Neodiprion lecontei: one gene and its partner. The protein of the gene in region 2 purifies or fractionates together with the protein of the main gene of each other region. This does not show direct contact. Links are inferred from orthologs where the notes say so. Each region holds a gene or a part of one and is shown on either strand. Other genes may lie near its edges.

Evidence for each region.
Region 1: the proteins of tyrosine-protein phosphatase non-receptor type 9 (region 2) and leucine-zipper-like transcriptional regulator 1 purify together in Homo sapiens (affinity purification with mass spectrometry; 3 studies listed by BioGRID and IntAct, with this or other methods). This does not show direct contact. The link is inferred for Neodiprion lecontei from reciprocal best matches to the Homo sapiens genes PTPN9 and LZTR1.

The regions. Positions count from the first base shown.
Region 1 is NC_060262.1:24,974,780-24,992,750, forward strand, and holds leucine-zipper-like transcriptional regulator 1, read right to left. Parts: upstream 10,142-17,971; 5' UTR 9,874-10,141; intron 9,804-9,873; 5' UTR 9,755-9,803; coding exon 9,648-9,754; intron 9,192-9,647; coding exon 8,883-9,191; intron 8,562-8,882; coding exon 8,447-8,561; intron 8,349-8,446; coding exon 8,182-8,348; intron 8,025-8,181; coding exon 7,039-8,024; intron 6,867-7,038; coding exon 6,664-6,866; intron 6,596-6,663; coding exon 6,311-6,595; intron 5,905-6,310; coding exon 5,770-5,904; 3' UTR 5,722-5,769; intron 5,620-5,721; 3' UTR 3,631-5,619; downstream 1-3,630. Other genes in the region: uncharacterized protein LOC107217489, read left to right, coding at 1-68; histone-lysine N-methyltransferase PR-Set7, read right to left, coding at 13,397-13,607, 14,178-14,754, 14,867-15,032. UniProt on the Homo sapiens protein: Substrate-specific adapter of a BCR (BTB-CUL3-RBX1) E3 ubiquitin-protein ligase complex that mediates ubiquitination of Ras (K-Ras/KRAS, N-Ras/NRAS and H-Ras/HRAS).
Region 2 is NC_060265.1:22,244,474-22,259,383, reverse strand, and holds the start of tyrosine-protein phosphatase non-receptor type 9, read left to right. Parts: upstream 1-5,749; 5' UTR 5,750-5,753; coding exon 5,754-5,864; intron 5,865-14,910. Other genes in the region: conserved oligomeric Golgi complex subunit 1, read right to left, coding at 1-51, 837-1,055, 1,439-1,718, 2,398-3,718, 3,954-4,155, 4,247-4,535, 4,652-4,819, 5,107-5,378. UniProt on the Homo sapiens protein: Protein-tyrosine phosphatase that could participate in the transfer of hydrophobic ligands or in functions of the Golgi apparatus.

The DNA of each region.
Region 1 (17,971 bases), on a different chromosome or scaffold from region 2:
AATCACCGTACAATCCCAGCGCCCGGTCACTATCGACCCGGTCTAGAATAAAACGCCTCAGTAAATAAAGGTAACATAATTAATAACAAAAGTTATGAGAAAATTTGAATTAAGGCCAGTGTATCTGCCTTAAATGCGATTGAAACGCAATTTATTATACTTGCATTCCTTGTTTAATTCAATTCAATCATTTCTCACTCTTAGGCACATTCGATAAGAAAATCGAAATCGCGTTTTATTGTGTAAAGTAGAAATGGCGCAAAATCGATTTCTTTATGCTTAGTTATGTATACTCCAATTTAACAGTGAAAGCTATTTTCAAAGTAATCCTGATGAATTTTCATTATCGAAAACGACGGGTAGTTAACCTTGCCCTAATATTATTTATACTAACTAACAAATTATCCAATCATTATGTTTGCCCTACCTGCGTTTCATCTATAATAATGCTTTTAGTTCAGAACTTCTAATTTTCTTCTACAGTTGTATCTTCATATTTCAAGAAGTATACTTCGCAAATATGCTCTGAACATTTGAGTACTTGAAGATGTCTATATCTTTGAGATATTTTTCTGAGGATATTCGATCATTTTTTCTCCCGAAATAATTATCATTTTATCGTATAACATTAGTCCATCACTTCACAATGATGAAATTATTAAATTTTCATAATCATACCAACAGTAATACTTCGAATATTCGAATATCCCTAAATAATGCTTAAAGTAAATAACATAACAATAAATGTGTCATTTTTCTCGATTTCTTGTCTATTTCCTTCCTCTTCTTTTTGATAACTGCATTTTAAATATCTATTTCGCAAATCCAGCAAAAGAAGAAAAAAAAATTCACTTGCAAATATCTTTTAGTTTTACTACATTTTTGGCAATTTAGTGTTTGATGCATCATAATTTTAGGAACAGCTTGATAGGTAACATATAAATATGGTGGTCAGGAGGCTACAGATCGATTTTGTTCAAACTACTTTTGTATTTGAAAAAAGAAATGTCCGGTTACAAACAACGATGATTTTGTTCCAATTGATGGAATAAATAGAGTAGAACTGTATATGACGCATGTGTGCTTTAGTTACTGTTCTACTTTTCGTACTTCATTTATTTTTCATGTTGTATGGACATTTCAAAGTGTTGATGCATTATTTTTGTAAACAAAGCATTAGTATTTTGAACGGAACGGCCAAAATTTAGTGCACAGAGCTTAGTAGTGTTACTGCGTCAGGTTGAACGGACATTTTTTCTCTTCATTCATCAACGAACTTGAATTACCTTTTTCTTCATTCAAAAAAAAGAAAACTGATTTAATTTACAGTAACGCCTGTTTTATTTCTATTTCGAATATTTCTCAGTGAGTGCTTTATAGTCTATGTGAGCCAGCGGTGATTTTAAGAGTAGAAAAACTTGTAGCGAGGATAAACTGTATGAAGTACAACACTATTCGTAATTCAAAATCTTTTCTTATTAGCGAATTAAAAGAAGAAATTGCAGGGATTACAGTATCAGATGATGCTGTGTACAATACTTTTATGAATCCATTTCTGGTGTCCACCAACCAATATTAATTTGGTTACAACTTTATTTAGCACAAAGGATGAAGATTTTTTTTCCCATTGTAATGAACAAAATTTATTTTCACTTGGTCTAACTTCATTATTTTTGTTGGTTGGTTGCTAACACTAAAATACAGTACATGCTACTAAATTTTCTACATTCACTAATTTGCCTTTGCTAGTAGTAGTAAAAATTCAGTAGGAGCTTTGTGACCAATATTAGTGAGTAAATATGTACAATTACAATAATTATATAGAGTTGTTGAAAGATCTATATTTATGAGAGAATGAAATGATTGTCTTCTGTGGAATAGCAAACCGACATCTGTTGTGCTCATTTACTGTAGGATTTTAATTTCAAACCGAATAATTTCCGTTCCGCATAACTGATGTATAATAAATGTTTAAATACATGTGCATTCAAATATGCCTGTATATTTGACTGCATTCCAATATTTTTCTATTCTCATATAAGTCATATATTTCCTAAATGATGCATTACACTTTGACGTAAAACTTAAGCAATATCTGTTATAAGTTTATCGATGTTTTTGTCAAGATATGTCGATGAATTTGATACCATGCACTGAATTTTGCTAATATATATAATTTTTTTTTAAATTTTTTATAGATTCTGGAGAAATAGAAAAACGATTACCTGTGTGAAGTATTTGAAGTTCTGAGTTCCGTCGGTTCTATTTATGTTGATCTGTGCATTAATCACATTAATGAGCTACTTAAAAATTTATGTTAGGTACATCACTTTCTTACAGGTCACCAATGCAAACGAAATGTTTTATAGGAATTACATGAAGAGTACAAAAAATTCTTGATACTATGCTTCATTTGAATTTTTACCATTTCAATTGAACATTGAATCTCTGAATTCTAGTACGATGGTATTTGAATTGAAACATGGATTACAATGCAATCATTTTGTCAATATCATTTCAACAACAGAAATGTAATTTGTATAAGTTGGATAAATGGTATGGACAAAATTCAAAAAATTAATTTAATGCGGCAAAAACATGTGAAGACATGATTTCTAGATTTATTTGACATCACTTCAGTCTTGAGACACTTATTGCGTATGCACGGAAACATTACTTTGTGAACTTTATTTGTATTTAAACTACCCAAAATAGAATGTTTATTAACTCAAAATTAGTATTATCCACTCAAAATTTTATAAACTTGATACAGCACAATGGATGTCTGTGATTGCTATATAAGTCATTGTTGATAGGTAATAATTAAACTAAGAAAAACAATTTTAAACTTGCTATATACAAGAAAAGTATATACTTTGTGTATAAACAAATTTCAATCACAATGAAAATGAAAACGTGCCTATATGATAGTTACCAGCTGGATACAGAGATCTAAGTTTACAGCTTTTAAATTGTGAATCATACTGATTAATGGTATACTTATGTATGAAATATGCCTATTCATAAATAGGTGACAATATGAAATATATAAGTATTTTGTAAGAATGTAATTTTACTGTAGCTGAACAATAGTATGAAAAGAGATAGCCTTATCGTTTATAAAAAAAATTTGAACAAAAGTGTGATTACATTACGTTTTTAAACTGTATATTTCAATAAATAAAGTCGATTCTTCAGAAATATCTGTATTTCTATTTGTATGTACTTCACTATCACGTTCTAGAGACGTATTTTACGAATGATATATACCTATCATTTGTTAGTATCCATATAATTTAGTATATAACAGTGAATATCGTCTTATACCATGTTTGCACAATATCCGTTCATTCGACTAGTAATCACAACTAATTTTCAGAAAACTTTACTATACATGCAGTATCATCAATCTGAAGTGGTCAGGGATTCCAGCCGAAATCCGTTATCCATTGAAAGTCATAGGAGAAGATGCACGTGAAACTCAACGAGTTTACTCTTGAGGAACGTCAAAAATATTCGAACATACGTGTGTGGGATGGTAAGTGGTAAGTTTAGTAGTAATCCCACAAAAGTTTCTTGTTGTAACATATTTTCTCTAGGCACTACTAATGAGCTAACAGCATACAATTATTTATGATATTTTCTTTATTATTTTTGAGAATCTCTAATATCGAACAAGTTTTGTGGCAGTTCCACAGAGTATATACATATAACAAGATTATTATATTTTTCAAGTGTTTGCATATCAAATGGTGTGAACGCTTGCATATTATTATTCAAAACCAAGCTACGTTAAAATAAATATTGTTAGATATAATGCTTTGTTTTATTCAAATATTGCACTTTTTTAAAATTAGATTGGTTCTAACATAATTTGGCACATGCAGAGATTCTGTTCGTTTTGTGCTTTTCTATCAATAGTCACACATAAATTTTGCACAGGCAACAGCAATTGTACAGTGAAACGAATGACTTAATACAGAAATTGTTACCATTAAACTGTGCTGGCTACAAAGAAAAAAAAACCGTTGAGCATTATCAGTGAAACTTTTGTTTACGTATCGCGTTGATGAATAATCAAATTTCTTACCAAATGGAATAACAAAAATTGTTGGACATCCCAAATGCATCAAACCTATTCAATATCAATATTGAATATTGAATAAGTTGAACTTTCCACACTCAACACTGTCATTTGAGTATGATCATACATTACTAAGAATGCTCGTAAATAGAAAACAATCAATGATACATAAATTGATTAAAAATATATATACAAATAAATTTAATTACACCAACGTTAGATCAAGGTGCAGATTAGCTGTATCAAATTCTTACATAACACACGTTCGCAAACACTTCAAGTGAATGAAAAAACTTTTAACCATACAATTTTCGCTAATTATGGTTTGCTTAATGAATACAAACTTATGTATACGATTTCAGTGATGCTTAAAAAAACCTGTCAATGCTATCATTTATACGGAGACAATGCTTTTTCGCTCAATATGTCTTGATGAATGTAACAATACATTAGAATTTCTGAATAGTAAAGATAAAACATTAAAGGACTACATCTGTTATTCAAAATTATTTTCTAAATATAGGTAATTAACTACCTAATTAATAACTACGATATCATGTAACTTGAGAGAGGATAACCGTGAAATTTAGAAATTAGGATAACCTGAAACGGTAGTTACTTTTGATAGTGATAGGACCCGAATCTTCTTAAATTCACAATTAATAAACAAAATATTCTATTATTACGGTTGTGGAATGTTGAATTCTTGCGCAGATGTTTCAATAACTCGTGCTAATTCGCGTGCTTAATATCTTAAGATTTCGTAAAACTAATTTCTGTTTTTACTAGAATTTACCAGCAAATCGTATTACAGCTCTTTATTATACAAAAGCTTGTAACATAGTACGATACGTGCTTCATATTTTTTTTATCGTAGAAATGACCATAAGTATTGTACGATTTGTGTCATTTCATCATTAATTCTAATTCTTCCACCGGGTTAAGTGTGACTAGATTTATTTGGAAAAAGTAAAAAACTATTCGAAATCACTACTAACTGCAATAAATAATAACGTAATTTACTGTGGTAATTTATTTTTTAATTTTCGTAAATGAACTCATCCTGCGAACGCTGCAAACTGACCAATATCACACTTATGCTTATCATGTTATTTGAGCAGATTATTGATTTGTTGAAGCCAATACAAGAACGTTGAGACATGCTTTTACTGGTCATTGTCAAGGGCAACAAGTATATTACTAACAATTAGCTGTCTGCTATTACTATACTATAAATTGAGTATGACTAAATTGGTGACGAGATTTCAAAAACTTATCACGTAATAATCCATTCATGTGAAAAAAATTCAATAGTTGAAGCTGCTGGTGTCATCTTTTTTCTTGAGACACGCTAGCAGTCGTAATAAAAGTCATGCCAACTGTCAGTGAATTTTAAATCGATGATGTCGCTTCTTCTTATGGTTACATCGCCTGTAGCCTTGTCTATATTGCGGACACATCTTTAAATCAAAGTAGTAGTTCCCAATGAACAGTATCATGCGTGTTATCAAGATGAAATTCACTCGAAATAACTCCTAAAAATTAAAACATTTTTCACCATTTGTTTTCCATTTTATTTATATATAATATTTACCCATTTAACTTAATAACTCATTTATTCTCTTGTAAATACAAACCTGAAAACTGGAGGGCATGGGAGCTCTCCATACCTGACTGGAAGTCTGTCAGCAGTCACTGGAAAGACTAGCACTGGACATGTCCTGACACATTCGAGCCTCACTCTTTTCATCCGCCAATGCCTCTATAATATCCAGTAAAAGTTCTCGACTCAACTGCTTCAATTTTGGCAATCGTGCCACCTACAAATTAGGTACACCATTTATGTGATGCTCAAATATCGCTTCCACAGTCAATGGAAACCAAAAATGGTAAATATTTTGTGGTCAAAAATTGGATTAGAACTGATGGATTATTTTTCTAAATTTTAACGAGTACTTGGAAAACGATCCCAATCAACATTTTTCCTCAACTCAATTGTTCAACAGTATTGCACCTACATAAAAAAAAGCAATTTATTTATAATAAGGTCTCATTGATTTAGGTGAAGCACGAGTGCACGTATGTATGGATTTTTTTCCACAGAGTGTAAAAAAGTTAAGTATCACAACAAAGTTTGACATTCAGGAATCAAGGTGACTCAATTTACATAAGTATGCTCCACATATTATGCATTAAACTTTTCTTTCAAGAAATGTTGTTCTATACCTTACTAAAATGATGGACGATCAGATTGAGAGCATATTTTTTCATGTCAATAGCCTGCATTCTATCTGCAGCTTCAAGAATTTGTATAACGTTTTCAAACGTAACATTCATTTCAAGATTTTGCTTGCAAAAGGCTTGCAGGCGATTATTTGTAAAGCCGTAAAATACTGGTGCAGTGAATAGGTACAGAGAGTCCTCAGGAGGCATTAAGACATCTGCGTAATAAATATACCTGAGCAGGGAATCGAATGATTCTTTTGAAGGAATCATCTCTCCGATTTGGATCTGAAAATGGTATTTGTTACAAGTAAAGTACTACAATCAATAATAAGAGGGCCTAGTAATATACTTACGTTCACTATGTTGTCTTCAGGCATAAAAGATCGGAACATGCCTTCGAAATAACTGCATCTAGCGGCAAGGATAGCCTTGTGTGCTGGTATGGGTGTCCCATGCAACATCAGCATAATATCACAAAATTCGGTGCTCGCACTCTTTAAAAAGACCTCCATATCCTGCTCTAGAGTTGTTCCCAACACATGAATGTGTGCAAATTCTATTCAAGAAAAATAAAATTATCACCATACAAAATGTAAAAGCGTCAAGCAATAAGTAATGAATCTATGCTCTAAATAAGACACACTTTGTTATTGTTATTGTCTTTATTCCAAAGTATTCACTAAAAGATTCCTTTAAACACCAAAATTTGGCAATATTAAATAAAGTACCTGTCGATTCGTATGACTTTAGAAAGTTTTTAGCTTGCGGCATTTGCCTTCTTCTTATGATTTCTACCATTAAGGGTTGATCCAATGTTTCAAATTCCTGGCTCATCACTATTTGATTGTAGTTACTGTCCTTGACAACAAAACTCAAGCAGAATTCTTTAATAAAATACAACTTTAAAAGTGCTGCATTATGAAGTGCTTCAAGAACGTTTGCATGACTGATAGTAGCTTCAAGATATTGAACACAAAGTTGTTCCAATCTTTTCATGTGAAATTGAACAGCTAGTCGATAAACGTCCATCATTAGAAGTACGATTCTGTTGCTCAACGGATCTTCTATTTTTTTGGTAGGATCTATTCGATCAGTGTATATGTAGTTCAACACCATTTCAAAGGCTTCCGGCACAGCATCCTTCAATTTGACTTCTAGCAACGGTAAATCTTTGAGCGGTAGATCGGTAATGCCTAAAATTTTTTCAAGATGCTTTTCTCTCTGATCTTGGGCTTGTTTAATTCTAGCTCTTAACCACTGAGATCGTGCGGCTACCATAGCAATATGTGCTGGTATTTTCTCTTCGCTTTCTCCAACAATAAATTGGACGTCGCAGAACTGTTGACTGCTGAGCAATCTTCCAAAATCATCGTGCAGAGTACATTTAGGATAAGAAGAAAATTGAAACCTGTACATCTCACCAGATCTCACATTGTTATCTACAGTGCCTCCAAATATAAACATAGCTTCCCCAATTACTGCTGCAGCATGAAATAATCGTCCAGATGGTACTTGGCTGTCTGCCGATGATAAAATTACACTCCATGTCTGTGTATCCAGGTCGTAACAATGCAAATCATTGGGTAGGGTTGAATCTGCCGTTCCACCAAAGACATAGAGATGCCTGTCAAAACTGACCATTGTGTGACCATAACGGCGAGCTGGAGGAGGTGGAGCACCTCTCAATATATGCTCTGTGGATATTCGAGTCCACCTATTGAACATAATTCATGTCACGCATTATGTCAAAAAATCCGAGTGCTTCTTAATTACAAAAGTCTTGTAATGAAAGTCTGCATTTTTGCATAATGAATTTGGATATTTGTTTGACTAAAAAACTTTATTGATGTTGGTATGCCAATTTCACCGACCTTTTGTCTTTGAAGTGGAACTGAAACAAGCTGTTTGTAATTTTGGCTCCACTCTGACCACTGAAAACGAACATAGATTCACGAGCAACAGCTACAGGGAAATTGCAACACGTTGGTGGACAATCTCCAGATTGCGCAACTTCTTCCCAAACTCTCATATCTCCTGGCTATAAACCACAATGCTTTTATTTAATCAACTCTTACTTTTACATAAAAAAATTTACTATCTATTAATTATAATTTAGTGTGAATGTAATTGACTTACAAGCAGCGATATGGTCCACATATCATTTAATCTAGCATTCCCATCGTACCCAGCGAATATCCAAAGCTTATTATCATACACTGCAGCACCATGGGCTGATCTGGGTACAGGTGTTCTACAGATTTGAAAGAGATACTATGAAAATAAGTATTATACATAGTTCGTAGTTTAGCAATAATATTCCAATGCCAGGTGCAGACATATATATATTCACATATATATATTTATTAGACATGAACAGTCTTGCTCTGGCCAATTACTTCATATCACAACTAGATGCTTGGACATAAACTTTCTGCTCTTCGAATACTCTGCAATTTGTTTATGATTTCAATAGATTCAAATAATGAGAGGAGCAGGTACCATAATTATTATGGAAAGCTCCATATTTTTATCATCGTTGTAGGAATGTTGATAAAGGTCACAATCAACTTACTTTCCAATAAACCGCCACTCAATCCATTGACCAGTCTTGAATTTATACTCAAATAAATCATTCTTGTTGGTTAAATTAGAATTTGAATGAATGTCTCCAGTGTATCCACCAAAAACGAACATAGAAACGTCATAAACTACGGCTGAGTGGTGATATCTTGGTGCTGGCGGAATCCCAGTGGAGAACGCCCTACCCCAAGATTTTTCTTTAACGTCAAACCGTAGCAAATCATTCAACATTTTCTTTCCGTTATCTCCTCCAAATACGTAAATAGCATCTTTATATGCTACTACCGTGTGCTTACTTCGTCTGTGTAGAAAAAATAATAGAGATGGATGTTGACTTATTTACCATTATAAGGGGATATTTTATTATGTTATCTGATGAAGATATCCAAATTTTGTAAATGACTTTCATAAAGTAACGAAACACCTGTTTCTGGCAAACTTTTAGCACAATACTTGGACAGTTGACATCAATATAAGAAGCTGCACAAATGATTGACTGATACTCTTCTACAGAGGATCTCATTTAACTTTATTCAGAATCTTAATATATTGAAACAAATTTTTTGTAGGTGTATCTGCTCCATCAAAGTCATGAAGTATAGCATGTGTGAATTGAAACATTATCTCTAATGCATCAGTAAGCGGTTCAATTGCTGGATTAAAATAGGAAAGCAAACGGTGAAGAGCGATGTTATAACTTGACATAAACTGACATAACCTATAATGCATGAAATGGATTGACGAAAATTTATCGCACCTGGCTCCAACAAATTCATCACATTCTGGCATTTGTTGCCAACGGTGAACCGTTTCGAACGGCCCAAAATCCAGGGTGAGACACTCGGCTGTCGCTGTGTTGTCCATTTCGGTTATGTCGGTAAAATTTCACCCGATTCTAAAGGAGCTTCACAACCTCAAATTATTTGCATTTCCAATTACGTTAATTGTCCGTTCAATAGTTGCATAACAAAATAAGTACTCACTTATCTTTGTATCAGATGAAAGCAGCGTTATATTGTGATTTTGCGAAACGTTACTCTACATCATTATTATGCGTTTGTCACATTTGTATGTCGAGTGTCAAAATCAGGTGGATGACCCTCTGTAGCCAATCAGAAATTCGTATTTTTTCAACCGCGAAATTCTGGCCATTCGGGGTTCTTGTTTATCAAATCGATATTTCATTCGTTTCGAGCTTGCGTGTGATAGACAGAAGTGCGTGGGTTTCATTCATAATATTTCTATCCTCTCCCATTGGCAGGCGTTATTTTCTGCTATCACGATTTCTTTCAGTGCACACTGTCAGTAAGATAATATCCTATATATTATCTTAACTGTCAGTGATGAGATTATTGTAGTTATATTTGACAAATCAAAATCGAAATAGCCTCAGACCTATCTAAGTTTAGTCAATTCGGTATCCCTTAATTTTTTATCATTACTCTTGTGAATATTGGAAGAATTTGAATTGAAAATTATTTGGCAATGTTTCATTGAAATTCAACGTTTCAAGTACTTTTATATCATGATAAGAAAATCGCGCAATTAGACCAGCTCTAATTGTTACACACCTAGAATCTTTCAATAAAAACATCATCTCAATATTATGTTCATGTGCACAATTATATTTTTATTCATGACATCTTTGTAATAACATAAAGCGTATAATAAAAAATATGTATACCTATATATGCATTCACTAAAAAGTTATCTATGATATTTTGTTTCAATTCAGTCGTAGAGGTAATTAAATGATCAGAGATTTTAGTTGTAGACATGTTGAATTGATGAATTAAGAGAAAAAAGCTGGCAGGGAAAGTTCAAACTGCGGAACAAAATCCAACTGTCAGAAGTAATTACTTGTTTTTATCAGGGTCATTGAAACTCTTAAAATATTACGAGATACCAACAAAATTATAACATTCTCTTAATAGGCTCGGTAACACCAAAAATAGTAAATTTCTTTGTGAAATTATACTGATCATTGGCACAACTAAATACGTATAACAATTCAATTTTGTATCAAAACTATATCAAATGTACAAGTTGTCTGTTGGGTAGAAAAAAGTATATTTTACATTGTTATGAAGCCAAATTTAAATCAATCTAGGACCATTTGCTAGTTTGATCACCTCAGAAAAAGTAGAAACATGCTTAAAAAGAATTAAAATAAAATTTTTCAGGGATGATTATTGACAATGTCATTAATATTCACATTGATAGTATTACACTATTTACCAGAAATATTCCGGAAGTAAGTGACTACATTATAAATGAATATACACAAGTATATAGTCAACTGAATACTATACAGGCTAATTATTAACATAAATTATCTACTAACGTTAACTTTATGTGAATACTAGACAATATATGTTACTAAAATATTAATAAGGCAGGCAGAGCCGACGTATTTGTATAACATCTAAGTCATTACTATATTTTAGTCCACCCATTTGAGAGTGAGATATTTTACTTGATCAAAGATAAATAAGGATAAACGAAGCACGGCTATTCATTAGTTTGTACAATTTAAATACAACAGGCAGTTATGTAGCTATTGAGTTAGAATTTAAATAACAAACGTTTGATTTTTAATCTTCAACGGGATCGCTTAAATAATAGTTAGTTATTCATCAAATCTGTGATAAGATAGTTGTAACTATTTATCCAAATTCTTCAAACTTTTTTAAACACTACGATGATTTACATTAACGTTTACTATCTTTTACCTCCCATCCGAACTTCTAGGCTTGTGCAGTTCTCGCCATAACTTTATAACTGTATATATTTCAATTTGTAATAAGAATTTCAACATAGCCCAAGTCTGTAATAGCCCAAGCCACTTAGGATAATCGTAACTGAATAATAAATATGTTTAAATAACTTTAGTTCATCACACTACGATCGGAATTGGATTTTATTCCCGCACTGTGCTCATTTTTTAATTAATCAAAACCAGTTGTCGTTGGACGCTAAGCGCCTTGAAATTTTTTATCAAAGAACAGTTTTGTTTGCTCCTGTATGGTGATACGATTTTAAACTAGCATTCTTATTCCTACACAATTGGCATAGTATTTTGAAAGAAACATTATTTATTCAACTTTTTCAACTGCTTCCACAGGATTTTCGTATAACGCATATAATACTTAAATCGGCTATAATTATAATGGTGTTTCACATTTTTGCAATTTTATATAAATAGTATGTCATTTTTTTATTATTCATTGAACTGGGGTATTTATTATGCTATACCCATTGATAATTTCTATTCGAATTACTATTTGTTTTCTCTTTCATTTACTACTTATTTGCAATCCAGTGCAGTTCATCAGCTCTATTTTGTACTTTGCAAAAATATGTAGTAAGGACCATTGTTTTACATAGAATTTCGATTGCGAGAGATTTAAAAAATGTAGAAGTTTCTCGAGATGATGAAAAGAAATGTGAATATCACTAAGTATCGTTTAAAAATCCTTATTGTAGATATATAGAAGAGCTAATTTATTCATTAATATTTATTAAGAATGTGAGAATCATTGCATTGAAAAGGTTAATTAAATACTACAATCATAAATCACTGAATGATACTAATTGTCTGTTTCGAAACATAAACCTATACAAAAATAATATCTTTAACGGTACCAAACCAATAAATATACATTAAAACTGATTAAATGAGTGTAAAATAGGTAATAATATTAAGAGTCAATCTGATCAGTTTCTCTTTGCAATACATTTATACGCGGATAAACGATGTTCGAGGGAAATATTCTTGGAAACGAACAGGTTTAAATTAAAAAGAAGAGTTAATTCTTTGGTAAAAATGTTTGACGTGAAATGGCATCTGACGATTTCAGATTCACGTTATTGAGAAAAGTTTGTTTTTTATGATATTGAGGAGGAGATTTGAACGTAGGCATAAAGTTAAAATCACCGTTGTTATATGCACTTGTAATTTTTTTATTTCAGAGTTCGTTGGATATAAAATTTTATTTTTCATCAAACTTTTTTACCGAAGAAGTAATTTTTTTAATCACATATTTGACAGATACAATTTCATATTCAAGAATTTCGCGTTCGAACATCACTCAAAAGCGCGTAATGTATATTGTTAAACGCAACGGGTATCGTTGGCTCCTGAAGGAAGTTTTTCCACCATATGCAGGAGGTCCCTAATATTGCAGTACACAGCGATAATCTGTGCCTGCCATTCTCATGTGATGTTTACCATCACATTAAATTTGTAAATTTCTAGCAATTTTACAGAGTTGAATAAATTTTTCATTTATTGATTACATGGGCAATTACCAAGATATTAGTTAGTACAAAACCAGTGTTAAATTTATCGTAATCTCAGTCTCTGTAAACATTTTTACATAATTTAGGTGCACTTGCATTATTGTAACTAGCAACTCGAGGGACTGCAAATATGTGCACTGGTTAAAAATTATTTTATCTAATTATGACTAATTACCGGAGATGTAAGAATGATCCTACTTCTCGTTACAATGCTAACCATGGATGATTACGGATAGATTCTCGACTACGGTCTCCATAGTCATAAGTCACTTCAACACCACGTGGTACGTCATCTTTAGCCGTAAGGACTAAATGTGGTATAGATCCAACTTCTATCACACGTGCAATCAGATTACCATTACGAGAATGATTTACTAATCTGCCTAACTTATCTGATTCTGGTGTTGCATCCACACTGTAAACAGAAAATAATATGTTCGTTAGTTTCATACTTGTAAAAAAAAACGTCACCGTTTGATGATAGATCATAGTAGCATAGCACATAGCATGTGAAACTGTATAATGGGAGGACTCGAGTTCAAATCTCTAGTTTGTCAAGCAAGACCTGAGCTGTAACTCGCAAAAAATGTAAGTTGGGTGACTCCGTTCAGACGCCGAATAGGCAAGTTGGGGTTTGAACTCGGTGCGGCTACACTCGCACAAGGATTTCGGCAGTTTTCCTTATCCCTTGTGCGAATGCGGGTATTTCTACCGAACATCTTAAGTTGGCTGCAGCCGCACAATAATGGTTACCGATCCATCCCCTGCCTTGCCCTACACAAGTCACAATGTGGCTTCTGGGGACATACTCTATTGGGTACGGCGAGTGTAGGGAGGAATTATTATTATTGTTATTAGTATGAAAATAGAAACTTTTTTAGTATAGAGAAGAAAACCTCAAAAATTAAATGCAAATGGTCTTTTGGGTCTTTCCTACAACCAACTCACTTTGTTAATAATCAGAATGACGATATTATATACTTACCAATACTGTTGGTTACGGTGCTTGAAGTAGTACATGTAACATCCTGTACTGTGATCTCGAGCATATTCAGCTTCTCGTTTTTTAGCCATATTTTGATCAATCAGGTCACCGATATATTCTACCACAAAGTCACCTTTCCGAAATTCTCTCGTTGTAACAATTCCTCTGCCCTTACCAATGAACTCTTGTATTTTCAGCCCATCCTGCACCTGACATAGAACCTTATTTTCCATGTCCCTCTGTTGTTCTTCTAACACAGTTCTTTTACATTTACGAACACTTCTACGAACTGGGAAATAGTCTGTTAATTTGTGATTGGTTCTATTCGCAGTCATTTTTAGTAATCCTTGTCCATCGGTGTTGTTTGGATTGAGTTTTCTACGACCTTTTTTCAATGACTTTTTGGCAGGATTTTGTACATTGTCCAGCACAGTACTGGGAGACTCTCGATAAAATATCTTGCTCGTATTTGTATTATCACCAGCATTTGGTTTTTCAGAATCTTCAGAATCTGTTCTTGTCATATTGATCCGATGCGGAGTTGGAGGTCCATTGACTGGTACAGCAACTGGAGTTTCTATGGTAATATAAATTCAATAAGTCTTCCATTTATCAAACTTCAACACAGTTTTACTGTCAGATTAACAGTAGCACAAATCATGTATTACAAAGAAAAATTGACGACACACCATCTGTCTTGAACAGCTGCTGATCAAACCCATTTTGTCGCCTTGGTGAACTCCTAGTGCATGAAAATTGATCTTCTAAATTATTTAAAAACTGTTTCTGATTATCGGTGGTGTCAAGTTTTTTTTGCCTGTGTCCTGATCGAAGATGAATATCCATTTTGTACATATGTATTCGTTTTATAGCTTCACAAGAATGACCTTGAGACAACTGAAAATATAAGAATAATTGGAATGAAAGACTATATTTACAATATTTTTTAGTAGAGATACATTCTTTGTTATAACAAGGAAGCTAGCTAGAATAGCAGGTTGTATTTTCTTTTGTGAAAGCCCGGTAAACAAATCTCTGTTTTCTATTATAAGTACTGCTTTTATTCCTACATAGTGACAATCTCATGGACATAATTTGTCTCTCAAGAGTTATAACTCAGCGGATATATGCATGAGTTAACTATATGTTGTTAAACCAGAACGTTTTCATAAAAACAATGCTAGATCTAACTAAAGGTAATTGCTTTAGGAATCATCGCCCATTTTAAAGACGCTCTGACGATGATTTGGAAACTTTAAAATATTGATGTATTAAATTGCAAGGATTTAGCCTCCGAACATAATCGTATGTTTTTTTATTTAACGAGTGATGAAACAATGGTAATAGAAATAATTGCCATTGGGGGATTGTGATTTTACATTGACCTAAGAACTCAGAGACTTAATACTAGATTCTGTGCAGTGAAGAACAAAATGACAAGTGATTGATGAATCAACTATGTGTACATATTGTATATATATATAGGTCCAATGTCTCTTTCCTCAGTATTATTAGTCTGTGTTATGTATGTATGCGTAATACATTTTTGTGCACGAATTCTAGTTGCAGAGGTACAACTAAATCAGACAGACATTTTTTACAAAGAGAATAAGACATGAAAAAAAAACAGTGCAATCACACGTAATAAAAACTGAATTTTCATTACATACAACAATGCAGTTTGCCATTAGCCATTAGCCATTTGTTTTCAGTGACTGACATAGTGTGAGAAGTTGAATGCACGTGCACTTAAAGCATAATTACGGTGCAAACATTGTCTTTAGACTAGCGTCCCATCAAAAATAAAAGAATAGTACAGTCAATTGTGAGAGGAGGAAGAACAGAGATATGGATACTAAAAATATGTCCTATGCTTGACAGTTGATGGTTACATAAAAATCAAGGTCGATACACACTAATAAGTATTATTTATGATGTACCCAACTGATGCTGTCAGAATGAGATGGCTGTACACAAATTACCAAACAAATGTCATGCTTATATACAATGCAGGCTGCATATATGCTCGTAAAACGTACGCTTTGAATTCAAGTTACGAGTACAATCCACTTAGTAGGGTTCGAAAATTTCGCGGTAAGTGAGTAATTCTGTAAAACGGTTACAGTTTCCATTCTGTTAGCCGAACTTAAAAAAATTGAGATTACGTGAGACTCATCGAGTGGGAAAAAAAATGATGCTCGAATATGGTTCGAAAACATAACCAATAACGGTTTGCTTAGCAAACGTATAAATGCATAAGTGAAAAACATCATTTGGACGGAAGATAAACTCACCTTTGACAATGTCGACAATTAGTCTTGGTACTGATTAAAATATTGTTATAAATTTATAATTTATAAGCCACTAGAATACAAAATGTTTGTAACAATTGGTAGCGTTCACAACTGCTCGATCACCTGGCATGCTTTTTAAATTATTGCCAAGTTATCTAATCGCGGGCTATTATATTATATTATTATATCTTTCGTAGGAAAAATTCACCACTTAGCCTCCGTTGCACGGAGATGTTTAATTACAAGTGAACAATTAATCAAACCTAAAAACGTCAACGTAAATAACACAACACTAATAAAGCGAGGAAGTCACTGCAGACTGCTCGGTTTGTCATCTCGCCGTTTACTGTGAATACAGAGAGATTGATAGCCTGGTGAGACCTTTGGTTATGGAATGTGGGCGTTATAAATTCATTGTCAAGCAGCGCCCTCTGCATCCTGACATGCGCGAAAACCCGATCCGGCAAATGGTCGGTACGTAAAGTGGCAAAGACGACAAAAACTGATCTTACCATCGTTCACAGCGTGTATCCAGATTTTGCAGAGTCAAATGACGTATCCATCTATCTATCCATCTATCTATACTTTTCAACTATGCAAGTTCATTTGAGCCAAATTCAGTAATGTTAATGAAACTTCATCAGATCGACAAAAATAATGTTATCTAAATAGATGCAAAGTAAACGTACACCTGGTTTCCTGTTTACAGAATTAGAAACCTTTTCTTGATGCAAACGATAGGAGAAATAGTCGAAGAAGTTAACCAAAGGATGAAGATATATAGTTGTTCTTTATGTAATTTGTTTACTGTGACGCTGATTTTTACTGCAACTCGGTCACCCGGAGAAGTGACCGAGAACTTGCAGCGCGCGTGCAAGACTCGACTAATTTCTCAACTTACGTTCGATTAACGTGGTTTTTTAAAAACACAGTTTATTTGCATCGGAAAACCCAGACCATTCTACACAAAAATAATACTTGTAAATATTTTTTGGAAATACGGAACATGCAACCCAAATGAACATAAACAAAAAGTCACATCGACAAATAGTCTCCGAATAAGGGCTTGCCGATCTAAAGTAAATTAATAACAATTGAATGTAATTTAATGCACGTTAATCCCACGTTCCACTCACAAGACTTTTTTGAAGAACGATGTTAATTAATTACAGTTCTAAATTGGATATAAGAAACTATAACGACTGACATAAAGATGGATTTTCCGGATTAGTAGTAATCAAATCCTTATCAATTATATACGGATGGTTTCATGCTGAACTGTTTTCTCGCTCGAATGAATGCGTCAAAGGTCTTGGCAAGAAGTTTGGACACGTGCAGGCTTTGAAGTACGATGAGAGGTATTACGTACAGCCGATAGGATAAAAATTGCCTTTACGTATAATGTTGCGTTGGTAACAGGATTTAATGTTTTAAAAGCCATCGGATTACTTCCCTTGAAAATCAGTTATTGAAAAGTAAGCCATTGTTTTTTCAATAATG
Region 2 (14,910 bases):
GGCTCCGGCAGAATCGGTCCTTGCGTGAGTCTTGGTCGGCGTTTTCTTCCGCTAAAATAATGAATTTTTACATTAGGTACACAGAGAACTTGAACCAGACCTGGATAGTCGGCAGATGGTCGGGATTTCAAACGTTAATTATACAAAGCACACACAGTGATTATAATAAACGGTTCAAAGTCGTTGGGAATTAAAAATTCAAATAGCAAAAGCGTGCGGTCGTGTTATGTACTCGCAGAGAGATTATTATCGCTCGGCGGTGACGGTTAATAAGGCGTGTACATACAGGTATGTATGTACATACACACAGCACATTGTCCATAATTGTAATTAATCCACTGTAATCGATTGGGACAATTAACCGGATTGCTAATAAGAATTGTTACTTTTATTGTTGTCGTTGGCGTTATTGTTATTGTTACGTTTGCAGAGAAACGTTTCTGTCTTCCGTTAGTCAGGGCCAAACAAACTGTAGAGGAGGCACCGACTCCCGTTGTAATTGGTTAACTAACACCAGACAACCGTGGGCGAGCATTAAATTCCCAGTTTCACGAGCTGGTCTACCTTGTCCATGCAGCGCCCTTCCCTCTGTTCATCACCCTATAAACGCCGCTGTTAAGCCAAATTTACGAAGGCAACGGGACTCGTAATGCGGTACTCTATAAACGCGAAATTATCTGTTTAGCTCGAGTTCCGGTTCGGTGTACTTGGCCTCACGCATAAACTAGCGTCGTAATTTGACCGACTAAAATTCACTCCGTTCTCCTAATTTTCCATTTCAGGCAAACTACGTCCGGAAAGAGCGGACTTGTTTCGTCACGTTTTTTCATGCCTACCATCGACTTGTCCTGCAGCGAGGCTATCGGGACTATTGGCACCGTTCTCGCCGGCGCTGTCACTGTCAGAGGAGGAAACCACGGAGCTCCGGAACAAACGGCCAGGACTCCTGGAGCTTCTGTTGCACCTTTTGCGCCGTCACCAGCTACAGGGTTCATCCGGGCTCCGAGAACGGAGAGCAGCTGCTCCGAGTGAGGCACCAGGTTTCCGAATATCAACTGGAAGACCAAGATGCTCAATGGTGATTTCGTACCAGATTTTTAACTCAACGCTAATTGCGTTTGTACCGAATCTGTTCATCGCGCGTGTAAAGGCTTTGCAAATTTTCCATTGTGTCTATGTACCCGGTTCACGGGGCAATGGAGATATATAATTCAGGTTCATGCCTTGGGATCCAGATAGGAGTGCCGGTTTCCCTTTCAAACTTATCCATCCGAGATGGTTGATTAATTAATTATGAGCTTTGAATGCGTCTGACACGGCGTAAATGATGCAAAAAAAAATATTGGCATTTTTAATTTTTAAAGTAAACAAAAGTCCAAAACGCGAGTAATGTAATTTTCGATGAATTGGATGGAAAAATTTTATCGCAATAAATTACCTGCGTCCTCTGAGCGCTCTTCTTTACGTTCGCGTGTATGAACGGATAAAATACGTCCAAATCGAAGGGATCGATCTTCGACTGAATGTCGTCGCATATTTGAGACGACTTGTCTACAAATTTTTTATTCTCTCGAGGAATCATTAACAGTGTGACGTATTTCGTGTCCAGCAACGTTTGCAGGGCTTGTTTCTGCTTCAAGTCGTCATTCTTCGATAACTCCGCGTAATATTCAAACAATTCCGTCACTACCGTGTCCACTATTTCGTGTAGTATTTTCCTGGAATTAGGCGAGTGTAATGAACCCATATTTTTCTTTCCAAATTCATCCACAAGTCTTGTCGACTCTTTTCAAAATGTTTACGTTATATTCATTTGATCCCGCAAGTCTGTTTCGGACAGATACATTTACCACCCGGCGTCTACAGTAACGCGGGTCCGAAAAAAATCGGAAGCTGACATTGGGACGAAATATCTAACGATCAAAAATCTCTTCAGCATAGCCCGAACTGAATCTTACCCTTCGTATAATCCAATTCTACTATTCATCCGGTGAACCAATTTTTATCAACGTATTCACAAAATTTTCCGTTCAAAAAGTTGAATTTTCAATATGAAAGTTGATGGAGTACGAATTACGCTTACGTAAATATTCTTTGATATTATACTGTGGTTTTTCGTACAATATTTACGTTATTAAATACCTCTGCGGTATAAAACCAGCTCATTTCAAATTTCATCAAAATTTGAGATTATCCGCAGATCGTATTACGCTGATAAAATTGAATACCTAATATCCTTATTATACATTGATTAGTAGAAAGTCAGTTGATCGAAATAGTCAAGCTCTTATTAAAAATTGAACCGATATTTCATACGAAGTTAAAAAATTTTCAATCACAATGCAACCAAAATTAATAGAGATAAGAAATAGCTTGCAAGCGTGCAAAAGTACTCACTTTGGCAACGTGTGAGGAATTATCGAATTCAAGTCTTTGCTAACAGCGGCCAGGAACTTCTGCACGGATATGGAAGGTTGGTAGGGTACCAAAATTTCAGACTTCATTCTTTTCCCTTCCTCGGCCTCCTCCTCGATCGTGACTTTCTCCCAGTCGCAAATCATTGTTTGCATTTTCAAAACGTTGAGAGACCTTGGCATAATTCCTTCCTTGTGATCGTGAATTTTCCGTTTGAAAATCTTGGCCCAAACTGTCCAAGCGGCGAGGCTGTCATCCCTCAAAGTATCGCAAATCGACTGCCACTTCGTGTTCGGTATAACGATACCCGAGACTTTCGAAAGGGTGAAACACTTGTTCAAGCTCGGGCAGAGTATAGTCAGTGCTTGGAAAAACCTCGCAGTCAGAATCGCGTTCACCTCCCGCTTTCCCACCTTCGCATCTTCGACGAGGCATTCATCCCTGATAAACTGTGACAATTCGTGTACCTTCTGCGTGCTTATTACTTGGAGTTGTTCCTGCACGATTTCGCGGTCTACGAACTTATTCAGAGTGCTCGAGATTTTAACAGCCAGGAGATCGGTCGTCGTCGTTGTCGACTTTTGACTTTGGTAAAGATAAAGGTGAAGATCCTGCAGCAGGTTGAGCAAATTTCTGTCAAAACTCTCGCAAAGTTTAGCCAAATTCGGAGAAAAGCCCCGCGTCTTCATCAGCAAAAGCCGATCGTTGTCGGCCCCGTTCCTGTTCAATTTTTGCGGTATGTCTGATGGGGAATCTTTCCAAATGTACCACCTCAGATCGTGCTCGGGATACTCGCATTTATCGTGGGCCACCTTGTTCAGGGTGTCGAAGAGGTCGGTCTTCAAATTGAACAGAGTTTCGTCCCACTTGATGCTCACGATTCCCTTTACACGCTCGGTCAGCAACAGCTGAAAGTAATCCCCCCAGAAATTTACCGTCTTTTCCAAAGATAATTTCTTGCACATGATTTCCCAATTCTGAGGAACTTCCAGGGCGAGAACCTCTTCTCTGATATTGTGTATCCCTTTGACCGACGTCACTAGATCAAGCAGTTTTGAGACCTCACGTTTTACAAAACCCTCCACCCAGCTGAGCCAGTTTGTCAAATTATTTTTTAACTCCGCTTCCGGAATTGGTTCAATCTCGCCCCGAGTTGACGGTTTGTGGCTCTTTGCGAATGGTGACAAGAATTTATCTGTCAAATCCCTGTCTACCTTTAGCAGGGACAAAGTTGTTGGCGCGTTTGAACCAGCTACTTCCTCTACACATTGCAACACAAGGCCCTGTTCCTTGCCGTTCGTCTCTGAAATCACATGGTCAAGATTCGGAGAAATCGTGATTCCTCAGCATGAATATTTATGAATGAATAGTATGGGTAGAGATTGTGGGAATGAGGTTTCAGAGGAAACATGACAAAAAAAAAAAAGGTTTTTTTATATAGTACGTAGACATTCTTAGAAAGATACAACAACTGATGTTACCGAACTTGAAGAATGACGAAAAATACGTCAATTCCACAATCAGGTAATTTTTCTTACCCACAAAACAGGAATAAAGCAGATCGATCACGTGTGTCAGCATCTTAACGCTCAAGCTAATTCGATTCCTCACGCTAAGATGGCTCTCGTCTTTTATTACGGCCTCGACGGCTTGGCTTCGAAGAGTAATCAATTTCTTCAACAACTCTGTAGATGCCATGCCATCCAAAAGAACCAGTGAAGCTAAACAATTGGCTGCTGACTGTAAATCGACAGATAAGATCCATATATTTTTATTCTTCATACTCGAATTTACTTTATACGTAATAATAATATATCAAATTGTCGCGTACCTCAACTGGGAGTTCAAGCGACTGCAGAACCTTATTACACCCAGTTAAAATTACATTTCTAAAGTGGCTTATGACGCCCCACTGTTTGAGAATTATCGGATACTTGGTAGCCAGGTCCGAATTGCCAACTTCAATCCTTAGACTGTAATTGATGTGCTGAGCGAACAAAAACAGTTGTGTGGCCAGTAGAAAGTTCTCCGTATCTACCGCCGACCATATTTGCTCCGGTATGTCCATCAGAATTTTGATTTGCATTACTATCGAGTCGTAAGCTTCATTTGACTTATTGCTACAAACGTTTATTAACTCACAAATGTATTTGGCATTTGATTTATAATGAGGGTACAAGAATTCGGATATTGGTGTCAACCTAAGTATCCAAGAATGATTTTGCGCTATTGTTACCTTTCCAACATCTGTTCCGGTGGATCCATTTTAAACCCGATGAGGTATTTCTGTTGCAACTTATGACAAGTCTCCTCCATGTTGCAGATCCTTGCTATAACGCACTCGGAAGTCTGCTTCATCTCTGCTATCGTATCCGCAGCTTCTATCAAATCTCGATATCGTTCTCTGTCAAAAAAATACTGGTATTTTGTTCTCAATTTGTTTTTGAAAATGGATAAGTCTATTACCTAAATATTCACTGGCAGGACAAATCATTTTTGTCATAATGAATCGTTAAGTCATCAAAATGAGAATATTAAAAAGAAAAACAAACTGTCAGGAATAAGCTGATGGTATTTTTTATTCGTGGGGAAAATCGGTAAAATTTTATTTGCATATTTATATACAAAAATCAGCTTAAAACTACTACGATTACAAATTGACACTACGCTTCTTAACCTAAAAAATCTCACCCAACAAGCGTACGAAGCTCGACTTTCTTTCGTTCGCTTTCATTTTGAATTTTTTTCTGTATCTGTTCGACTTCCTTAATCGTATGACCCTCGAAAACTTTTTTTATATCCAGCTCCAAAAGATTAACAACTGGCATTTTAAATTTTAAATACCGAACCCTAATTTTTGATTTTGACACATCAACACAATCCCAGCTGATATCCGAAACCATAAGACATGCGTTCCAGAGACCAACGCACCTCGAATTGTTCCTGCACCAACTAACTGACATTAGGCATCCGTGCCTTCATAGCTTTGATCTCTGTTGTCGGTTTGTCAGTCAATTGTGTCGGTACTAGAGATCGCGTCCTGATCTGCTACACCGGGAGATACGGATAATGATCGCTTCGAAATAATACCACACATTGGAAATTCACGTCAACATCTCTCGGCTGGCTCAACCTCATCTTCATGCAAAATGAATCATCGCTAATAAAGTTTGAAATCTGCGGCGCCGTGAGGCATTATCTTAGTCAAAATGTAGCGCCAATAGCGCTTAGCGGGAGTCTGCCGAACCTTCGATACAACGAAGATTTACGCTGCGAGTCATGCATCTACGTTTTCTTCATTCTTCAGTGCGGCGCGTATTGTAGACACAAATATCTCAATGCTAGTGTGGCGTTCGGTCTGCAGTTGGAGCCAGTCGCCGTTTGTGGTTGTGTTCTGTGTTCAGTGTCAAGCCAACATGGCGGCCGCGTTGACCGTCGAGCAGGAACAAGTAAGTGAAATGCGAATTGTTATTTGTGGAACGAGAATCCATCGCCGAGCGATATTTCATTGAGAGCTATGAGACTTCTCGCCCCTTCCCCGCTTCCACACGTATTTTCAAACTGCTATTCAACGTGTATAAATAACACCGCGAGTACCGAATGTAAACATTTCAACACCTCTTCCGCACGTCCGCGAGTTCCGTCAGGTTTGCTTGACAGCGGGGACTAATTTTTATTCATTTTTTTTTTGTCGTGCGGTGTATAAATAGCCCCCGTGAAAAGTGGTGAAATCCGCAATTCCAATAGACTCGTTGCGTGTCTCTCTCTCGAGTTATTTATTATTTGTTTACGTTTACAAATTAAAATCCGTGCTCGAAACTTCCGGGTGCATCTCAAATTGTGTATTAGGTACGGTAAATTCAGAGACGAAGAGACGGTTTTCTGTACCCGATCGTCGGTCCGGATCTTTGCATTATTATACACTTGCGTATCTTGTTTTTATTTATATGCCCGTCTGCACGTCGCAACGTAAACGTTACATTCATTTGCCACGTGTAAACACACTCTACATATATAAGTCTATAATATTCTCATCTCCGTTTCTCACAATTCATATACTTAATAAATATTACGTACTCGAAGGGAAACGGATGAAAAAAAATTTTTTCAAACCGCGGAATACGTACGCCTTACTTTCAACCAGGCACGCCTCGAATCTTTAACGGATAAAAAAAAGCACAGGATCGAGCCAAAATCTAGAGCGTTTCAACGACGTAACTGCATTCCATTATACAAACTCCGGCTGTTTCATCTGATATCAGACGAGATCTCGATCAACCTTCAACTACTTTTCAAAGCATTAAATTCCACCGCACATTCCAGTTTTATTAGGGCATTCGAAATCCTTGATTGTGTCACGATTTTCGCTGAAGAAGAAGTCTGCAATCGAATCGGGGAAAGAGATAAACAGCAGTTTATTAATTTCTCAATATTCGTTCGATCACAAACTCTACTTTTACTTTCATGGTACCATTTCTGTATGATTTACCCCAGTTTAGAGGACACGCAACTGGTTGCCCCGTTTCAATTTAAACTTTTTCATTTCTATTTTATCAACTGAATACTTTTTTCTTTTTTTTTTTGTCATTAATTCTTATACAAAGTACGTGCATAACGTATACTCTTGAATCAACGCCACGTTTCATCCGGATATACTCTTGGCTTGACGTATTACTCACATCCGTATGAACGTGTTCGTGTAAAGGGTATAACCGTATTTAACACACACGCCTATTTGCACGTTTTTTAATTTACGGACGCAGTGTCAGGCGAATTTCTCGAAGCATTAATACTACGTCTACATCAGTCGTCGAATTCCGTTTTCGTTTTTTTCCATTATTTTTCGTTAACTTCGCGTGAGTATGGAGAAGTAAAATGAAATCTCATACTTTTCGTAAACATTACACGGATTAGAAATCAACCTTGAAACAAATGTAATCCGAGTTAGGGGATAGAATTAAAATAAAAAAAAAAAAAAAAAAAGGTAACGAATCGGCGTACATGTTTTTCGCTGACGTTACTCCTCACTTTGTCAGCGTTTCGCTTCGTACCCTTCGTGTCGCAATTACACACCTTATGTTTCACGGTAAGAGATCAGCGGGATCGAATATTTGGGCGAATTATGACTAATTGTTATTCCTCGGAAGAAAGAGAATCCTCTGTGAACAGAGCGACGGTGAAAAAATGAAATCATACTAATCATAGGTACCTCGAAATTGCGAATAAAGACTAAGTGGTTGGCTGGTTCCAGTGTGTGGACGGAACTAAATTCCCGATTCCCCGGAGGCTAATTCGAGCCGGTCAATTTTTTTATATCATAGAGAGTTTATCGTTGCTGTCGTTATTTATTTCAATGCTTTACCAAGAATTATGGAGGAGGAGAAGGTATATTCGTACCGATCTTTGTAATTACCGCATTTCTTATCCCCGTTTGAATTATCTTTGCCGTATTATAATTAAGTCTTGATGAGAATGAAATGATATATAATTTGTATCGTATGTTTTATTCAGAACGAGAGGACGATCAAAAAATTTCTAGATAAACGTATGTCAGTGAGATGACTATTTCGAACGAGTGACCGATGTACAAACTTGGGCAATAATATATTATACGTAAACGGTAATACATTTATGTATTTTTTAATTCCCTTCCGCTACAGAAATATATAATAACAATTCGGTTATCGTTTAACGTTTCAAGTTAATCATACCTCAGATTTCAATTTCATTTAGTTGAGTTAAGAGGCCTTTGTTATCGTCAAGGAAAAAACTTCCTTCCATTTCGTCGAATTGATATCACGGTGTATACTTCGAAATGAGGAACAGTTCGAAAGAGTTATTCGTAAACAGCAATAATTTTTCTACATCATTTTTATTCAAGTCGTATAAATATCCATTATCATAATACCTTTGATGAAAAATTGTCCCACCTCTACTTTGTAACAATCATCCGACGAGTTACAAAAGTTATTAAATAAAAACAGATATCAACTTATGCGGACGAAGTCCGCGTGTTAAGAATAATCGCGATCCACGATACATTTTGTCGCGAGTCGAACGAGCAAACCTTTCTCGTCTCTTCCTTCTTGCTTCAATGAGTTGAATTGTGAATACATTGAAAATACCGGTTCGTAAATATTGTGCAAGGTTTGGCCGCCGCAGCGAGACATGCATGCGCCTCTTGATTAACGAATGCAGCGAGGGCATTGTGCCCTGAACAAGTCTGCTGATATAGCGGTGGCCAATCACCGACGTAGATCAAGATTCGATGACAAAAATGAAAACATCCTTTCGATTAAACCGAGTCTTGTCTTATCGCGTTTTACACACGCGTGTGTCTCTGTGCGTACATATATAGATACACGTGTGTGTACGTACGCATAGTCATGCATGCAGCGAAAGTGTTGTGGCAGCTTGTATGACGATAATATGAAATTTGTTGCGGATGTTATTTAATTATAATACACAATCTCTCTTTATGTATTATACCGAGGTTCGCATGCAGCTAGTTAGCTAGCTCTCAGGGATTCGGTATAATATATGCGCACGTGTATTTTACAGCCATTCATTCGTTCATTCGTTCGTCTAATTTAAGGTCACTCGGGGATCTTGTATCATCACGAAAATAAGCAATTATCACGCAAGTCGTATAATAGCTGTTGTACTTTCGCGCAGGTATAAAGAACAATGAAGAAAAAAAGAAAGAAAGAAAAAATAACCGCACACGTCACGAGATATAATATCGTTATTACAATTATTGTAATGCAAAACGAAAGGAACTTAAAATTCATCTTATCGTCATAATTTCGCTACCGAATTTATTAGTATTGTGATTTACAGTTAAACTTTTAACGAATTTAAAATTGCGTGGTAACAATTTCATAATTTTTTTTAACGAGTTATAAACTTTCCCCGCAACGTTTAGCGGAAGGAATTGAAACGGTATCCGAAACGTTGACCCTTCCCTTGGTTGATCGAATTATCGTACAATGGCTTCGCGCACCGTTTCGGAGAAATTAATCAACCGTATAACGCAAGCACCGTAGGTTACGGGTTACGTATACGTACCTTAATTCGTAGGACACTCAAATGCCGCGGGATCGAGATCCGAGCAATTCTCACCCGCCTCGCTCCTCGCAGCTATTACTTAATGAAGTCTGATTACGAAGAATAAACCGGACATTGTCTACTGGATACAGGAAATGAATACAGACGTGCCTCCGGCGTCACGCGAGCTTACTTACACATGTGACGAACGCATACAACGCATATCTATATGCAGGCGTCGATGGCGTCGTACTCACTTATACATATATATTATATATATATATACATATACAATCGATCTTGAAGAGTCAGTGCGTCTTAAATTTTTTACAAATTACAAACACGCGGATTCGATCACGTTGCTATATTATTCAACTATGTATTACGTATATCAATTATTTAAGCTTCGTGGAACTCAAATTAGAGGTTCGCACAGATCTGTCGAAATTCAATCCCTTTTTTTTTTATTATTTTTTTATTCATCACCTATCGTAGTCGAACGTTGAGAATGTACCAAATTTAGATTTTTTTTTAGATAAAGAGAAATGAAATTAAAAAAATAAACGAGAAACACAAGTACTAACATTGTAAACAAGGGCTCGGATTTGAGAAAACTATTGTTCGCAAATTCACCGATTTAATACCGCTGGTTTCTAATCGAAATCAATATTAATTAGTCCAATCTTGCGAAATTGAGTATTTAACGATATCGAGGTGTAAAGAAAAGTGTCCCAGTGGCGTTGTAGAGAATACTTTTTTTTTGAAAACAGACCACCGTGGAGTTAAATCGAAGAAATCTGTGCTAGATTTTTAACTATTTTGAAGGGATTTTATTTTAAGTAAAATATCGACGTTATATCTATACTCCAGTTTAAAACATTAATTTTTTTTCTCGCATTTTCGGAATAATATTCATTCAGCTTGCGAACGTGTGAATGATGTAAACGAGAAAGTGTCTATTCTTGACTCATCAATCTCCTACCGAATCGAGATATTATATCGTGTTTAGACTGTGATTTTGAAAAGTTGAATCAAGGTTAATGGAAATCATATTATTTAAAAATAGAAGAAGAGTGCACACCTGCACATTGCAAATAAATTGCAAGCACCTATAAAGTCTTCGTTTGAAAAAGATTATACCACTTGACTTGCACAACGCAACATTCAAGTCGCTTGAATCATCTATTTCAACGCGTACAGTAAATATAAGTTAACTACTTTTTATCCGATAGATAATATCTCGCGAGTGGGTTGCAGAACAGCTGCATGGAGTTCGGAATGTCGGTTATTCGGATTTCCCCCGTGGAATAGCAATTCGCCCTTTACAACTGGATGCGAAAACATATCATGCTTATTGCGTGAGCCAGTTTTTCGCAGAATAGAAAAATGACGAATCCCACGCATCGTCCCCTACAGACGATGGTGGTAATTTCAACGATCCGCCCGTTAATTACATTGTTCGTACATGACACACTAACTATATAAGTATAAGTAATGTTCGTAGGATTTGTTTCCAAGCGTATTGGTAAGCTTTTAACCTATCTCATAAGACGCGTCAGGTGAAAAGAATTCGATGCAGGCAATATTCGAAGAATAGAAATGTGAAATGCCGGCACCTCGTGTTGCCGATGCCGAGTCGAACCGACCTTGTATGTTTATTCAGTCAATCGCATCTCGGTTTGCTGAGAATGATGAGTCATATTATTGCAAAAATAAAAAATACACCTTGTTCACTTCCTCGTTCAACATTATAATTTGAGGCTTAGATAATCGAAGAATAACAATAATAACCTGGAGGAGTTATAATAATGATAATTCACGAGTACAAGTATAGGTATATAATTATTTTGCAACGTTTGTTTATATTAATGAAGGGAATTCGGACGCGCTCACAAATATCCCGATAGTTGAACAAACCGAGATCGATTTTGTTGTCACTCCTGCAGTTTTACTTAAAAGACGTCATAGTTCATCTTTCAATATACGCGTAATTTTCAGTAAATCTTAAAATTTGTCTAAATTTTCTCGAATCAAAAATGATGTAATTTTTTTCCGAACATTTTTTCTTGTTTTCTTTTAATTTGATGGTTTTACAGTGTAGTCAATAAATTTATGGACAAGCTTGAAATAAAAATTGGAAATCATATCGAATTTATTAATTCTTCAACATTTATTATATTGTATATTACTGTATTGGACGCGACAAAGAAAGTAACCTTATTCCGACATGACTAATGCTTCCGGAAAGCTGCACTTGTCGTATAAAGTAGTATTCAGAAATCAGCTTGCATGGAAACCGGAAAAAATGGTAGGAAGTAGAATTGTTAACTAATAATCTAACCTTGGAATTACGCATAAACTGAAGTGACGTTACACAACGCAATTATTGCAAACAATATTTTTTCCTACGTTGAAATCAATCGTGAAATCAGTTTCCGTTGCAAAAATAAACATTCCGACGCGCAGAAAGGAAAAACCGAGTCGCCTTCTAATTATGATTAATATTGCGAATGCCTGATCCGTAAGCGAGATAATTTTAGCGACCTTTCCATGTTACCTAAGAATAGTTGAGACGAAAAATGAGCAACTTGGTATTGAATTTTATGGAAGATTGACTGCGGGCGATGAATTGCGTATAATATATTTATATATATATTAAATATACGTAAGATTTTAATTTAGGCAAATTACGTTCATTGTCAGCCACTTTGAATTCGCGTTGGAATTATTTTTTGCGGACTCGCAGACGCCTTATTTGGTATATTTTTCAGCTAATAATACCGGGCGTGAAACTCCTCATTTTGCATTAACGAGGACGACAAGTGCACGTCAATTGAGACTTATTGATCTGTGCAGCGCACCCTGACATTGATCCCCTTCCTGCTGAAGTGGTTTGATTACTGCTCGCTCGTGACAGACCGCGGGTACGTTATACTATACCTATATGTATATCTACTCAAGGTGTACGGTATAGATATATGATAACCCTCGTAATATGCTGATTTTTATACAATGGTCTAGACGCCGCGAGATTCTCTCCGTTTGGGGGCGAGGTTGAAACTCCGAATTTGAAAAATTTCGAGAGCGCCATATTCGGATTTTCTTTTTTTTGGTGGCGAAACTTGAAGTAAAGAAATCAAGCTGATCGAAACATCAAAGTTTCGAATGGTCCGAAACCCGACGCTTAAATTAGTTGCGAAAGTGCAAAATGCCGAAAGGACCAAATACTGAAACGGCGCAACTCCGACAAGTCAAATTTTCGAAAGTGCGAAAATGAGAAAATTTAAAAATCTGAAACATCGAAATTCCGAACGATCGTAGATTTTCAGTTCTGTGAATTTCTGACTTGGTGAAATTTCACCACTTTGATCGTTCTTTGCTTTGGATTTTCGATATATTTTTACGTTCCTGGTCATTCTGATTTTTCATTCTTCTGATTTTTCATATACGCTCGTTGAGTAAACTGTGAGTATAATTTACTTTTTGGAACTTTGCTCTATCGTAACGTGAATTTTTGGAATCCGGGATTTCGGAACTTTGAGCCGTCGGGTTTCCGATCATTCGAAACTTTGTTGTTTCGTAAAAGTTTGATTTCTTTTCTTCGGGACTGGTTTGGAACTTCTCGAATTCGGAACTTCAACCTCGCCCCTTCGTCTGATGTAGGCTTCCGTACTCGTATCGATTAATTTACTACTAAATTTAATACCAGCTCTGATCAAGCCACTGTATCACTGATTTTCAATCATACGTATTTCACTGTTCGTCGTTTTCTTCCTAATACCAATTATTTATCACACTATCCAAAAATATTTTACTGTCTAGATTCATCGTTATTCCGTAAGCTGCGAAAGCAAATAGGTACTTATCTTTGTTCCTAATATCGCAATGATTAATGTTATGAACAAAAAATGAAATAAATACTGAGGATACATGTGGCGATAAAAGAAAATTTTTAGATAAAATTTCCTATTTGAACTTCCTCTGTAGTCGAGAAATTTTTCTCGATACGTTAAACAAATATCGTTAATTTATATGGAAAATGCGATTCCTGAGCTGACGTGGATTAATAATCCCGTTGATGGAAATATCACTTACGATTCATATTGATATTTTCGTCTGATATTTGCAGTTATTCTATAATAAGCAATTTTATCGAATTAAAATCACTCCCCGTGTTAAAATGTTTTAGTCACCTTGTGCAATCCGAAGATGAGCGGAAGGTATAGCAAATTCCTGTTCTGTAATCGGTTCATTTGAGTAAATTCACCTGAACCGATAATCCGTCGGTGCGGTACAAGTTGTACTGCACTACGTGCATGCGGTATGTATATAATACTGCATCAAGTGCAGAACTTTGCTTGATCCAATTTCTGAAGTATATTATATATCACATGCAAGTATAAATCCTTCCGAGGATTAGCGGCCATTGGCGGAAGTAATACAATATTCACACGTCGAATCGTTTTATTCATCCTAAGTACGTTGAGAAGTAAGTATTATAAATCATCCTCGTAAGCAGCTGTTTAAGTGTTCACAGTAAATTACTTTCCATCCATGCTCGGTTATTATACCCCACTGTAGCTGAAAATAAAAAAAAAGCACCAGCGGTTTTTACCACACGCGTGACGATCTCTGACAAAGGTGATAATTACATGGTAGCCGCGCTATTTCTCGGTGTAATTCGCCTCAGAACCGCGAAGTGTTATTTTATTTTCTATGTAGGCACAGGTATTATGTGTAATTGTAATTGCCCACAGGGGTTTAAGTCTGTTGATTTCTTTGCTAGAAACTATCAGTGACATCCGGTCCTATAAGTTACACAGCAATAATAACATTTTCGCTCGTCCCCGCCATCCGATGTTTACTTCATAACTATATATACAAATGGTTCTGCTGCTGAAAGTTTATATCGTTGAACGTACGCACAGTTTTGTCACAAAATAATTTCGGATTGAAAGCGTGAAGTAACTCTTTTTTTCAATTATGTATAAAAATTTCTCGAAATTTCACCTATATAATAATTTGATTATGAATATATGTATATTTATAGATCGGTTCTGAGCTCGAAAATTTGCACGCTCATCCAATATGCAGTAATAGTCGCAGGAAATGGAAAAAATATAAAAAAAACTCGGTAATCTGTGATAAAATTCGTTTGATATTTAGCAAAAAAATTTGCATATACGATCATTTGTAAAACCGTCAAATTCGTCGTTGATACTCGAATTTTGTGCGCATGTACCCAAAGTTCCGATCCATCAAGCACGATCGGTAATTAATAATTTCATTTCTGAATTTTGATGATAAATTTCTTCCAATTTCGGCAAGCGAGTGAAACTTCCTAATTATCCATTTGCGAGTACAACATGGCAAGATTATAGCTAAATATTGCACCGATTCGCAATGACGATATTCGCTATTCAGGAAGACTTTTCAACTGAGTTTGAT